Linked DNA regions of Callithrix jacchus. The protein of the gene in region 2 purifies or fractionates together with the protein of the main gene of each other region. This does not show direct contact. Links are inferred from orthologs where the notes say so. Each region holds a gene or a part of one and is shown on either strand. Other genes may lie near its edges.

The links.
Region 1: the proteins of PTPN21 (region 2) and WWP1 purify together in Homo sapiens (affinity purification with mass spectrometry; 3 studies listed by BioGRID). This does not show direct contact. The link is inferred for Callithrix jacchus from reciprocal best matches to the Homo sapiens genes PTPN21 and WWP1.
Region 3: the proteins of PTPN21 (region 2) and TRIP6 purify together in Homo sapiens (affinity purification with mass spectrometry; 3 studies listed by BioGRID and IntAct, with this or other methods). This does not show direct contact. The link is inferred for Callithrix jacchus from reciprocal best matches to the Homo sapiens genes PTPN21 and TRIP6.

Annotation. Positions count from the first base shown.
Region 1 is NC_133517.1:40,734,725-40,738,867, forward strand, and holds the start of WWP1 (NEDD4-like E3 ubiquitin-protein ligase WWP1), read right to left. Parts: upstream 2,812-4,143; 5' UTR 2,643-2,811; intron 1-2,642. UniProt on the Homo sapiens protein: E3 ubiquitin-protein ligase which accepts ubiquitin from an E2 ubiquitin-conjugating enzyme in the form of a thioester and then directly transfers the ubiquitin to targeted substrates.
Region 2 is NC_133509.1:123,329,082-123,332,727, reverse strand, and holds part of PTPN21 (tyrosine-protein phosphatase non-receptor type 21), read left to right. Parts: intron 1-1,476; coding exon 1,477-2,909; intron 2,910-3,646.
Region 3 is NC_133503.1:12,852,407-12,855,803, reverse strand, and holds the end of TRIP6 (thyroid receptor-interacting protein 6), read left to right. Parts: coding exon 1-51; intron 52-139; coding exon 140-309; intron 310-1,052; coding exon 1,053-1,231; intron 1,232-2,112; coding exon 2,113-2,233; intron 2,234-2,509; coding exon 2,510-2,641; 3' UTR 2,642-2,790; downstream 2,791-3,397. UniProt on the Homo sapiens protein: Relays signals from the cell surface to the nucleus to weaken adherens junction and promote actin cytoskeleton reorganization and cell invasiveness. Involved in lysophosphatidic acid-induced cell adhesion and migration.

The DNA.
Region 1 (4,143 bases), on a different chromosome or scaffold from region 2:
AAAAAAATACAAAAATTAGCCAAGTGTGGTGGGAAGTGCCTGTGTTTGCAGCTACTCGAGAGACTGAGGCAGGAGAATCTCTTGAGCCTGGAAGGTGGGAGTTGCAATGAGCCTGGAAGGAGTGAAAGAAATTCTACCTCAGGAAAAAAAAAAAGCTCCAAGTAATTCTGAGATGGGTGCCATGGATGACCTTCAGATGGTCCACGGACTCTCCTAAAACTGTAGCCACAAAGCACAGGTACATATGGAAGTTTTCCAGGCCAGCAGATTTCTTAAGTTTCACCAAGAAGTAGTAATCCCCAAAAGGTTGTAAAGTAGCACACATATGCTGAGGGTAAAGCTTCATGATTTTGCTCAAAATGGTACCACGTTCTCCCAACCAACCTGGATCAGAATCTGTTACTTTTACTTTCTTCATTTGCCCTCTCATCAAATTTTGGCTATTCTACTTCCTTTCTTCCTTTCCATTCGCGTGCACCACACCTCAGACTACAACACTTGGGAGGTCTTTCTACCTCCACACGCTCCCTACCTCAACTCACACTACAGGCTGCTATCCCACTAATCCCTCTGAAACAAAGTGTTCAAATTGTTTTACTCCCAATTCAAAATCATCTGTGGAAGCCCCACCACCTAGTAAATCCAAGGTTCATAAGCCTGGCATTAAAAACAACCCATAAACTGTTCCAAATTTCTACTTCATGTTTTATCACCCTTTATCCAAATACAAATAACACTATGTTCCACCCAAACATAATTACTTGCCTCTCCCCAAACAGGAACTCTGTGCTCTCTTAGAGATCCCTCTCTGCTTGGATTACCTTTCCTGCCTATCCAAAGTCATAGTGATCCTTCAAAACCACGATTTCAGAAGCCAGAAGCTCTACGAACTAACCCTCTTATCCCTACCTTGCCAAGTAAGATCTGAGCTCTACTCTCTTTGAAGTTGACTTCTGAGAGGATTTTGGTACTGTTTACGAAACGTATATATTAAAAGACAAATAGGGCATTTGTTTATAGCACTATCTACCTAATTAGTGTAAAAGCAGAAACTGCTAATCAGTTCATTTTTGTATTCCCCAAAATATCCCCCACAATTATGCAGTAAATGCCTAACATCTGTACAAGGAAGTAAAGGAAATTTCAGCCACCATGGGGTAAACAGCAAAGATTACTATCTCTTTGAAGGCAGAGACTTTATCTGTGACATTCTCTATTAGGCCGACTTCCAAAAAACATAACTAGTAATTATTGCTTTTGAAAATCCTGATGTCATAGGTCTTACCAGCAGTTTTGCATTTTAAGGTAAGAACTATCTGAAAATGTTAATAAGCTAGGTCCCAAAGAACTATTTCACATACTTTACAATTTTCAATCTGAGTAGATCCAAACACTTGGCCATTATACTTTCCATTTTTAAAATATTAACTATTTATGAAAGATGATCATTTCTAGTCGCAGCTAATTTCCAACTTGATAGCTAAAAACAAGTCACACAATACAAGAACGACTTTCTTTGCTTGCATAATACACACAGATTTGGTGAGGCAGGATTTACACATACACATGAACTCTTGTAAAAAAATAAATAAATAAAACCTGCAGATAACTGTAAACCCATGTATTTCTGGCAAAATCACCAAACGGAGAAAACAAAGACAACTGTGGATATTATTTTTTTCCCCATTACTATTACCAGTAACATTTTAAAGCAGAAACACAAAATCTTGTTCCACATTAACCTACATACAAAAAAAAAACCAAAACTGTTAAACTTTTCAAATAGAAAAAGAAAGCAAAAGCCCCTGGAAAATATTTTACTGGAAGAGTGAATGTCAAAATTATAACAGATGCTACTCTTCTTTGGTAATGAAGGTTTCATATAATTACCAGAGCAAAGAAAACTCCAAATCCACAGAGCAGAGAAGACTGTGAACAAGACTGATCATTTAAAGGTCGTAAAGGTAAGGGGCAAACAAGAAAATGAAAAATTTTATAAAAGAAAACGAAGATGAAAGGTAAGTGTGTAAGTCACAGACAAGATAAGGACTGGTAAAAAGGACTGGTAAAATCTGCAAGGTCACCGGGACCTACCAGGTCACAAAAGGTAGAGGTGGGGGTTGCGCTGGGGGGGCAGGGAGGGGAGCTGCAGAGTCGGTGAAGAACCGGGAGTGACAAAAACACGTCAGAAAAAGGCATTCCAAGGCTGGAGTCCTTGGTTTGCAACATTGAAATTGGGGTGAAAACTCAGGGCACGGGCAATGAGTCCCTATATTTGTGTTCTGAGTGAGGTAGGAAAAGGTGAAGGAAACCGAAGAGAAGGCTGAGGAAGAACCGCGGCTGCAGAGTCACGGAAACATTTAGCTCCGCTCAGGATCACTGGCACAGGCCTGTGCCAGGGCCAACTCTGGGCAAGACCCGTGACCCCACCCCAGAAAACTCCCGGCTCCCGAGCTGGAGAAGGCGGAGAAGGCAGACAAGGCAGGGTGGACCGTCCTCTCACTGCCCCTTGGAGGGTCCCGCCCGCAGGCGGACGGCGCCGGGTGCCGGGCACCGCGGCCAAGGCTCGGGGCCCGCGCCCCCTCCCTCCCCGCCCGCCTCCCCAGTCCTGCGCCCCCAGCCCCGCGCCGCGCAGTCCTTACCCGGCGCGAAGCTGTCGGCTCCCGGCAGCCGGGCGGCCACGGCAGGGACACCTCCTCCTGCGGCGGGCGCCCTCACCCTTCCGCGCCCAAGATCGCCATCTCTTAGCAGGCGCGGCGGCGGCAGCCACCCAGGCGTCGGCCCCGGCAGCCCAGGCCGCCTCAGACACTCGGAACCCGCACGCCGAGCTCGCCGACACCCGACCCTCCCCCCACCCCCACCCCGGCCACGCGCCACCCCCAGGCGACCCCACACCTCCCTTCCTCGGGAGCGCGCTGCGTGGCAGCGTCGCCGGCGCCGCGCCCCGAGCGCGCGCCTCCCCGCCGGCCCCGGCACCGCGCGCGACGCCGCGACAGCCCAAAGCCTCCAACTCCGGACCCGGAATCGGCCTCCCCCGAGCATGCGCAGCGAGGGCGCTCGGAGGCTGCCTTAGAAAACTCCGCTCCTCCGGGTCCTGAGAGCGGTCGAGCAAATGGGAGGGACAGCCAATAGCAGGGAGGGGCGGGGCCTGAACCTGTGGAAGGGGCGGGGCCGCCGCTGAGATTTGGGAAGAGGCTGTTCTAAGACCGCGCTGGGCACTGAGAACACGACTTTCCGGTAGGCGGCCGATCCCAGAGCAAGACTTCTTAAGGTCCTGGGGCAAAAGTAGGCTGTTCATAACTACTCCCTGACCTAGCTGAGGGTTTGACTTAGAACCCATTGCAAGAGTAAATAACTGCATTTATCCATGGTCATACCCGAAGACTTGCAGTCCATTATTTATTAATCAAAACCTTCATTCCCCTGCCCTCACTCACATCAGCCCAGTGATAAAGCTAATACTTCCTGAGCAAGTACACGTGTTGGCACAATTAACCCATACAGCAATCCCATAAAGTAGCGTCTACTGTCTCCATTATACAGAAAAGTCAACTGGTTTAGGAAGTGCTGTTGGTTATGTGTAGCTTTTAGAAGAAAGGCTAATGTGCAAATAGAAGTCAGTGGAACCGCATTACTTAACAGATGATCCGGTTTTCTACTTCAGAGAAGCAGAAGCCTTCAGGCATGGATTTCTACAATTTTTCCCCAATCAACTCCCCCATAGATTATCCCTACGTCCACACTTGTTTTCCTTCTGTCTGGGAGGCTAGATGTCCCTGCCCACACCACTGCCTGCTCTCCACTGAGAGCAGTCCTTTGGCACTTTTTTTTTTTTTTTTGACAGAGTTTCACTCCGTCACCAGGCTGAAGTGCAGTGGAGCGATCTCCGCTCACTGCAACCTCTGCCTCCTAGGTTCAAGCAATTATTCTTCCTCAGCCTCCCAAGTAGGTGGGACTACAGGTTTGCACCACCACGCCTATCTAATTTTTGTATTTTTAGTAAGACGGGGTTTCACCATGTTGACCAGAATGGTCTCCATCTCTTGACCTCGTGACCCACCCGCCTCGACCTCCAAAAGTTCTGGGATTACAGGTGTGAGCCACCGCACCTGGCCTCCTTGGCACATCTTTAACTTCGCCCTC
Region 2 (3,646 bases):
TGAGAGGTCGAGAGACCTCACTTCTGATGGAAGCTGCACATGCCTACCCCACCCACTTGCCCCTCAAGTCCCCTTGACTGCCATATCTTCTGTGAGGTGGTTCTTGGTTCTCTCTTTCTTGTCCCCATCAACCCAACCCAGGCTGGAAATGACCATTCCTTCCTCTAGACTCCTGTAACCCTTTACCTTTTCTCTCTTCCTTGAATTACAGTGATTTCATGTATACCTTTCCCCTTTTCCTGCCTGTATTCTAGCCACCTTTTCCCCCTTCTGTTCTCAGTATTGCCTTTTCCACCTATCAGTCTTATAGATGACTGGCTGGTCTGTGTGGTGCAGAAGCAACGAGACTACGTGGATATGGAGCTAGTTCAGACAAGCTGGGGTCGGGGCCCGAGTTGTGACAGCAGTGAGAAAAGGGGGATTGCAGAGGTGGAACCATAATGGAGCTTTGTATAGACGAGGAAAGCATAGTGACAAGGAAGTGCTGTGTGTCAGCAGAAGAAATACCATGGAAGTTTGAGTGCTGTTTCCTCACAGCCGCATGTCCCACCAGAGTAAAGTGTAACCCCTGGATTGTGGTGTATCACCTAAGTATCACATGGCCACTTAAACCATCACGGAGCTTGTGAAGCACTAAAAGAATGCCTTTCAGAGGAAATTGTTATTTGAAGGACTTGGCTGCTGAGTTTCTAGTGTTAGAAAGCACTCTCGGTAACAGATGGCAAGTGAACTACAAATTGGAAGAAACATGGCCCCTGTCATCCTTGGGCAGGGACACATGCAGAGCTACTGTAAGATGATGTTAAATTGATTGTTAGCCGTAGGTCTGGATCTTCCTGAAACATGGGGGCCAGGGCAGGAGGCAGCTGCAGCTGTTTTAGTATGGCTCCTCCTGGCTTCTGGACACTTTATGGGCTGTGTGGCTGCTGGTGACACAGTGCTGCTGTGCTGGACGCTCATATCCTGCCATACCATTACCCTTTACAGTCAAAGCTCTCATGTTCATTTGGGAAGAACAAACAATCCAAAAATCCCAGTTAAGGAAATGCTTACAGACAGCCGGTGCTTGAACTGACTCAGCAGCAGCAAGGCCACATCCCTACCCAGGGAAGGAAGGCAAGGTCCCCGGCTCAGTGCCTTGAATGGTATCTCTGCCTCCAACTTCCCCAGAGTTCCAAAAACTCTGCTAGTCTGGTTGTGTGTGTGTGTGTGTGTGTGTGTGTTTTAACACAGGGTCTCACTTTGTCACCCAATGAATGCCACCCTTTAAGCAGGCAGAACCATCCCCATCCTATAGAGGAGGAAGCCGAAGCTGCCAGGGTCACTCAGTGCCTGTGGCCAAAGCTAGGTCATTTTAGCATGGATTTTTAAAATCTGTGTTAAAAGTGTCATCAGAGGTTAAGGGCTGATCTCAATGTTTGGTTGGAGTAATTAGTCCAATTTTAAAAAATCTCATTTGGAACTCATTTTTTCTAGATAACCTCTTTGTGCCCAACCAGAACGGATACTACTGTCACTCTCAGACAAGCTTGGATAGAGCCCAGATTGACCTCAACGGTCGGATCCGTAACGGCAGTGTCTACAGTGCGCACAGCACCAACTCCTTAAATAATCCTCAGCCCTACTTGCAGGCCTCGCCGATGTCGTCCAACCCCAGCATCACCGGGAGTGACGTCATGAGGCCCGACTACGTCCCATCCCATCGGCACAGCGCTCTGATACCCCCGTCCTACCGCCCCACCCCAGACTATGAGACTGTGATGAAGCAGCTCAACCGGGGCCTGGTGCATGCGGAACGGCAGAGCCACTCGCTGCGAAACCTCAACATCGGCAGCTCGTACGCCTACAGCCGGCCCGCGGCGCTGGTCTACAGCCAGCCCGAGATCCGGGAGCACGCGCAGCTCCCCTCGCCGCCGGCCGCTCACTGCCCGTTCAGCCTGAGCTACAGCTTCCACAGCCCGTCTCCCTACCCCTACCCCGCCGAGCGGCGGCCCGTGGTGGGCGCGGTCAGCGTGCCCGAGCTGACCAACGCACAGCTGCAGGCGCAGGACTACCCGGCCCCCAACATCATGCGGACGCAGGTGTACCGGCCGCCCCCGCCCTATCCGCCCCCCCGGCCCGCCAACAGCACGCCCGACCTGTCCCGTCATCTGTACATAAGCAGCAGCAACCCCGACCTCATCACGCGGCGTGTGCACCACTCGGTGCAGACGTTCCAGGAGGACAGCCTGCCCGTGGCGCACTCCCTGCAGGAGGTCAGCGAGCCCCTCACCGCCGCGCGCCACGCGCAATTGCACAAGCGGAACAGCATCGAGGTGGCCGGGCTCAGCCACGGCCTGGAGGGCCTGCGGCTCAAGGAGCGGACCCTGTCCGCGTCGGCGGCGGAAGTGGCGCCGCGAGCCCTCTCGGCGGGCTCCCAGCCCAGCATTTTTGCCGAGCGGACAAAGCGGGAAGGGCCAGAGGAGCCGGAGGGCTTGAGATACGGCCATAAGAAGTCCCTGTCGGACGCCACCATGCTGATCCACAGCAGCGAGGAGGACGAGGACGAGGACTTCGAGGAGGAGAGCGGGGCCCGAGCGCCCCCTGCACGTGCCGGCGAGCCCCGGCCGGGCCTGGCCCAGGACCCACCCCGCTGCCCCCGCTCCCTGCTCGCCAGGCCCCTGCACATCCTCGAGCCCAAGGTCCACGTCCTGGATGCAGAGAAGAGGACAACGGACAGCAGCCCAGTCCGCATGACAGCAGAGGCCCAGCGGCCCCGGAGAGACGGGCTGCTGACTCCCTCCATGTCAGAGTCAGACCTCACCACGTCGGGCCGCTACCGTGCCCGGAGGGACTCTTTGAAGAAGAGGCCAGTGTCGGACCTCCTCTCTGGGAAAAAGAACATCGTGGAAGGGCTCCCGCCCCTGGGGGTAAGTCGCTCGGAGAGTAGTGCAAGCAGGGAACCGCGCCTTCGACGGGCGCTCCATGCTTCTGCCCTGGCGGTGCTTTCCCTCATCGCTTCCCATGCTTTTCGGCTCCTCTTGTTCTTTTAACTTTCTTCATTCCCCCATGTCACTCTCTTTTTGTCTTTTTTTGAATACATGTAACTTTATATGTGAAATGGCGATCCGCTTGAATTTTAGTAGTTTTAATGAAGATAATGAATTACTATAGATGAAGTGAAAAGGCAAATTCACAGGGCTTTGTGGAAAGGAATGCAAAAGATGAATGAAATGTTTTAGTAATGCAGTATTAAGGAAAAGACAGTTAAGATTACATAACTTTAACCAGGATTGCTTTAGTCGCCCTTTAAAAGTACTGTGGGTGATGCGGCACCCTAGGGGTGCATTTGTTCAGTTTGCTCGAGAGATATCTGAGAGGAGTATACAGGGACGTGTTCTCAGCCCTAATATAATTCTCCAGGTTGGAGTATGTGTGGATTCAGCTTACATATCTTGGCCGTGATTCTTCAGAGTGATTCTGGAGTTGGGAAGGTGGCACTCTGTCAAGGCAAATCCTGAGATGTTCTGGTTTCTTAAATTTAAAAGAAAGAAGAATTCAGCCGAGAATCAGGAAAGTCCCTTGTGGAAGATGCAGTTCTTTACTATTCAGTGTAATAAATAAATAGGATTTAAGCACTTTTAACCTACTTGAAGCAAAATATAAA
Region 3 (3,397 bases), on a different chromosome or scaffold from region 2:
CCAAGAAGCTGGTGCACGACATGAACCACCCGCCCAGCGGGGAGTACTTCGGTGAGCTGAGGCTGTGGGGCCGGTGGAAAGCAGGAGGGGAGGCTGGGAGACAGAAGGGACAGCTGATATTGTTTCTGCCTGTCCTCAGGCCGGTGTGGTGGCTGTGGAGAAGATGTGGTCGGGGATGGGGCCGGGGTTGTGGCCCTCGATCGCGTCTTTCACGTGGGCTGCTTTGTGTGTTCTACATGCCGGGCCCAGCTTCGGGGCCAGCATTTCTACGCCGTGGAGAGGAGGGCATATTGCGAGGGCTGCTATGTGGTGAGTGGCTGGGGTTGGGGGGCTGGAGTCAGTGGCTGGAGGCCGGGGCTTCCATCCAAGGTGGGAGCTAGAACATCCAAGCCCAGAGGAGGAACCGTGCTAGAAGCCGGGCCGCTGGAAGCGGTGTACAAACAGGAAGGAATTCTGCAAATACCAAGCAAGTAGCTCAACACTGGTGGCTGGAGGGAAGGATGCAGCTCTTAACGAGCGGGGCGTCTTACAGTTAAAGAGAATGTGTTAGATTCCCACCACACCCACGAGGCAGGTATTACTACCAACTCCTGTTTTCCTTTTTCGAAACAGAGTCTTGCTCTCTCGCCCAGGCTGGAGTACAGTGGCGCTATCTCGGCTCATTGCAAGCTCTGTCTCCCCTGGTTCAAGTGATTCTCGTGCCTCAGCCTCCCGAGTAGCTGGGATTACAGGTGCCTGCCACCACACCTGGCTAATTTTTGTATTTTTAGTAGAGACGGGGTTTCGCCATGTTGGCCAGGCTATTCTTGAACTCCTGGCCTCAAGCAATCTGCCCACTCTGACCTCCCGAAGTGCTGGCATTACAGGCGTGAGCCACTCCAGCCCGATTGCTGCTTTTCTCAGAGTGGTTAAATACTTTGTGTAGTGCTAGGATCTGAACTCAGAATCACATGCAGGGGGCTCCAGAAATAGATGGCTGGGCTGTTGGGGTGCCTGGTGGGCTGCCGTGGCTCCCGCTGGCTGCCAGATTTTCCTGCTTTCCTTCCCAACAGGCCACCCTGGAGAAATGTGCCACGTGTTCCCAGCCCATCCTGGACCGGATCCTGCGAGCTATGGGAAAGGCCTACCACCCTGGCTGCTTCACCTGCGTGGTGTGTCACCGCGGCCTCGATGGCATCCCCTTCACAGTGGATGCTACCAGCCAGATCCACTGCATCGAGGACTTTCACAGGTCAGGCCCGGCCTCCACCTCATCTCACAATGTCTGACCTTTCCTGTCTCATCTCATCTCTCATGCCCCAGGACTGTCTCTTCCTGTTTCCAACCCCTGGCCCTCCTTCATTCTTTGTTATTATTATTTTTTAGAGACAGAGTCTCACTCTGTTGCTCAGGCTGGAGTGCAGTGGCGTGATGATAGCTCACTGCAGCCTCCAACTCCTGGGCTCAAGTGATCCTCCTGCCCCAGCCTCCCATGTAGCTGGGACTACAGGTGCACATGCCACCATGCCTGGCTAGTTTTCTTATTTTTTGTTTCTTTTGACATGGAGTCTCAGTCTGTTGCCAAGGCTGGAGTGTAGTGGCATGATCTTAGCTCACTGCAACCTCTGCCTCCAGGGTTCAAGTGATTCTCCTGCCTCAGCCTCCCAAGTAGCTGGGATTACAGGCACGTGCCACCATGTCCAGCCAGGCTTTTTTTTTTGTATTTTTAGTAGAGACAGGGTTTCATTATGTTGGCCAGGCTAGTCTCAAACTCCTGGGCTCAAGCAATCTGCCTACCTCAGCCTCCCAAAGTGCAGGGATTGCAGGCATGAGCCACTGCACCTGGCCTTCTTTGTTTTTTAATAAAGATAGGGTCTTGCTCTGTTGCCCAGGGTGGTCTTGAAAGCCTGGCCTCAAGTGATCCTCCTGCCTTGGCCTCCCAAAGTGCTGGGATTACAGGCCAGAGCCACTGCGCCCGGCCTCTCTCATTCTCCTTGACATCATCCCTTCCCCAGACCTAAGGCCACGCCTCTGGCCTCTGATTCCCTCCAGTGCCCCACCTTCTCTGGGTCCCATTGTTGGTGCCCTGCAACGCCAGGGCTTGATGGCCTTCTCGGTTCTCTTCCCCTCCAGGAAGTTTGCCCCGAGATGCTCAGTGTGTGGTGGGGCCATCATGCCCGAGCCAGGTCAGGAGGAGACAGTGAGAATCGTTGCTCTGGATCGAAGTTTTCACATTGGCTGTTACAAGTGTGAGGTCAGGGGGCCCCAGCATGTGCAAGGGGTTGGCAATGTCTGGGGTGCTGGGTAGAGCATGAGGGAGGGGGAACACAGAGGTCTCTGGTTGACAGAAATCTGCTTTTTTTTTTGAGATGGAGTCTTGCTCTGTTGTCCAGGCTGGAGTGCAATGGCGTGATCTCGGCTCACTGCAACCTCTGCCTCCTGGGTTCAAGTGATTCTCTTACCTCTGGAGTAGCTGGGATTACAGGCACCCACCACTATGCCCAGCTAATTGTTGCTTCTTTTTCAACAGGAGTGTGGGCTGCTGCTCTCCTCTGAGGGCGAGTGCCAGGGTTGCTACCCACTGGATGGGCACATCTTGTGCAAGGCCTGCAGTGCCTGGCGCATCCAGGAGCTCTCAGCCACCGTCACCACTGACTGCTGAGTCTTCCTAAAAGTACCTGCTGGGTTCTCAGTTCCAGTTCCCATCAGTTGATGGGTCACCCTCCCTGACATCCACTTGTGTGACTTTGTCACCAAATGCTGGCTTCTTTCTCCAATCACAAAATAATAGTCCCTCGAGTTTACAAAACACTTTCCAGTCTGTCGTCTCATCTGATTCTCCCAGGAGCCCATTACAAGCCCAGTCGCTGTTACTGTCTATTTTTACATGTGAAGATGCCAGAGCTGAGAGGTGACTCCCCCAGATTGCATGCTTTTTTTTTTTTTTTTTGAGACGGAGTTTTGCTCGATACCCAGGCTGGAGTGCAATGGCGTGATCTCGGCTCACCACAGCCTCTGCCTCCTGGATTCAGGCAATTCTCCTACTTCAGCCTCCTGAGTAGCTGGGATTATAGGCACGTACCACCATGCCCAGCTAATTTTTGTATTTTTTAGTAGAGACGGGGTTTCACCATGTTGACCACGATGGTCTCGATCTCTTGACCTCGTGATCCACCTGCCTCGGCCTCCCAAAGTGCTGCGATTGATTACAGGCTTGAGCCACTGCGCCCAGTGGTTTTTTTTTTTTTTTTTTTTTTTTTGAGGGAGTCTTGCTCTTGTTGCCCAGGTTGGAGTGCAATGGTGTGATTTTGGCTCACTGCAACCTCTGTCTTGTGGGTTCAAGTGATTCTCCTGTCTCAACCTCCCAAGTAGCTAGAATTATAGGCACCCGCCACCATGTCCAGCAAATTTTTGTATT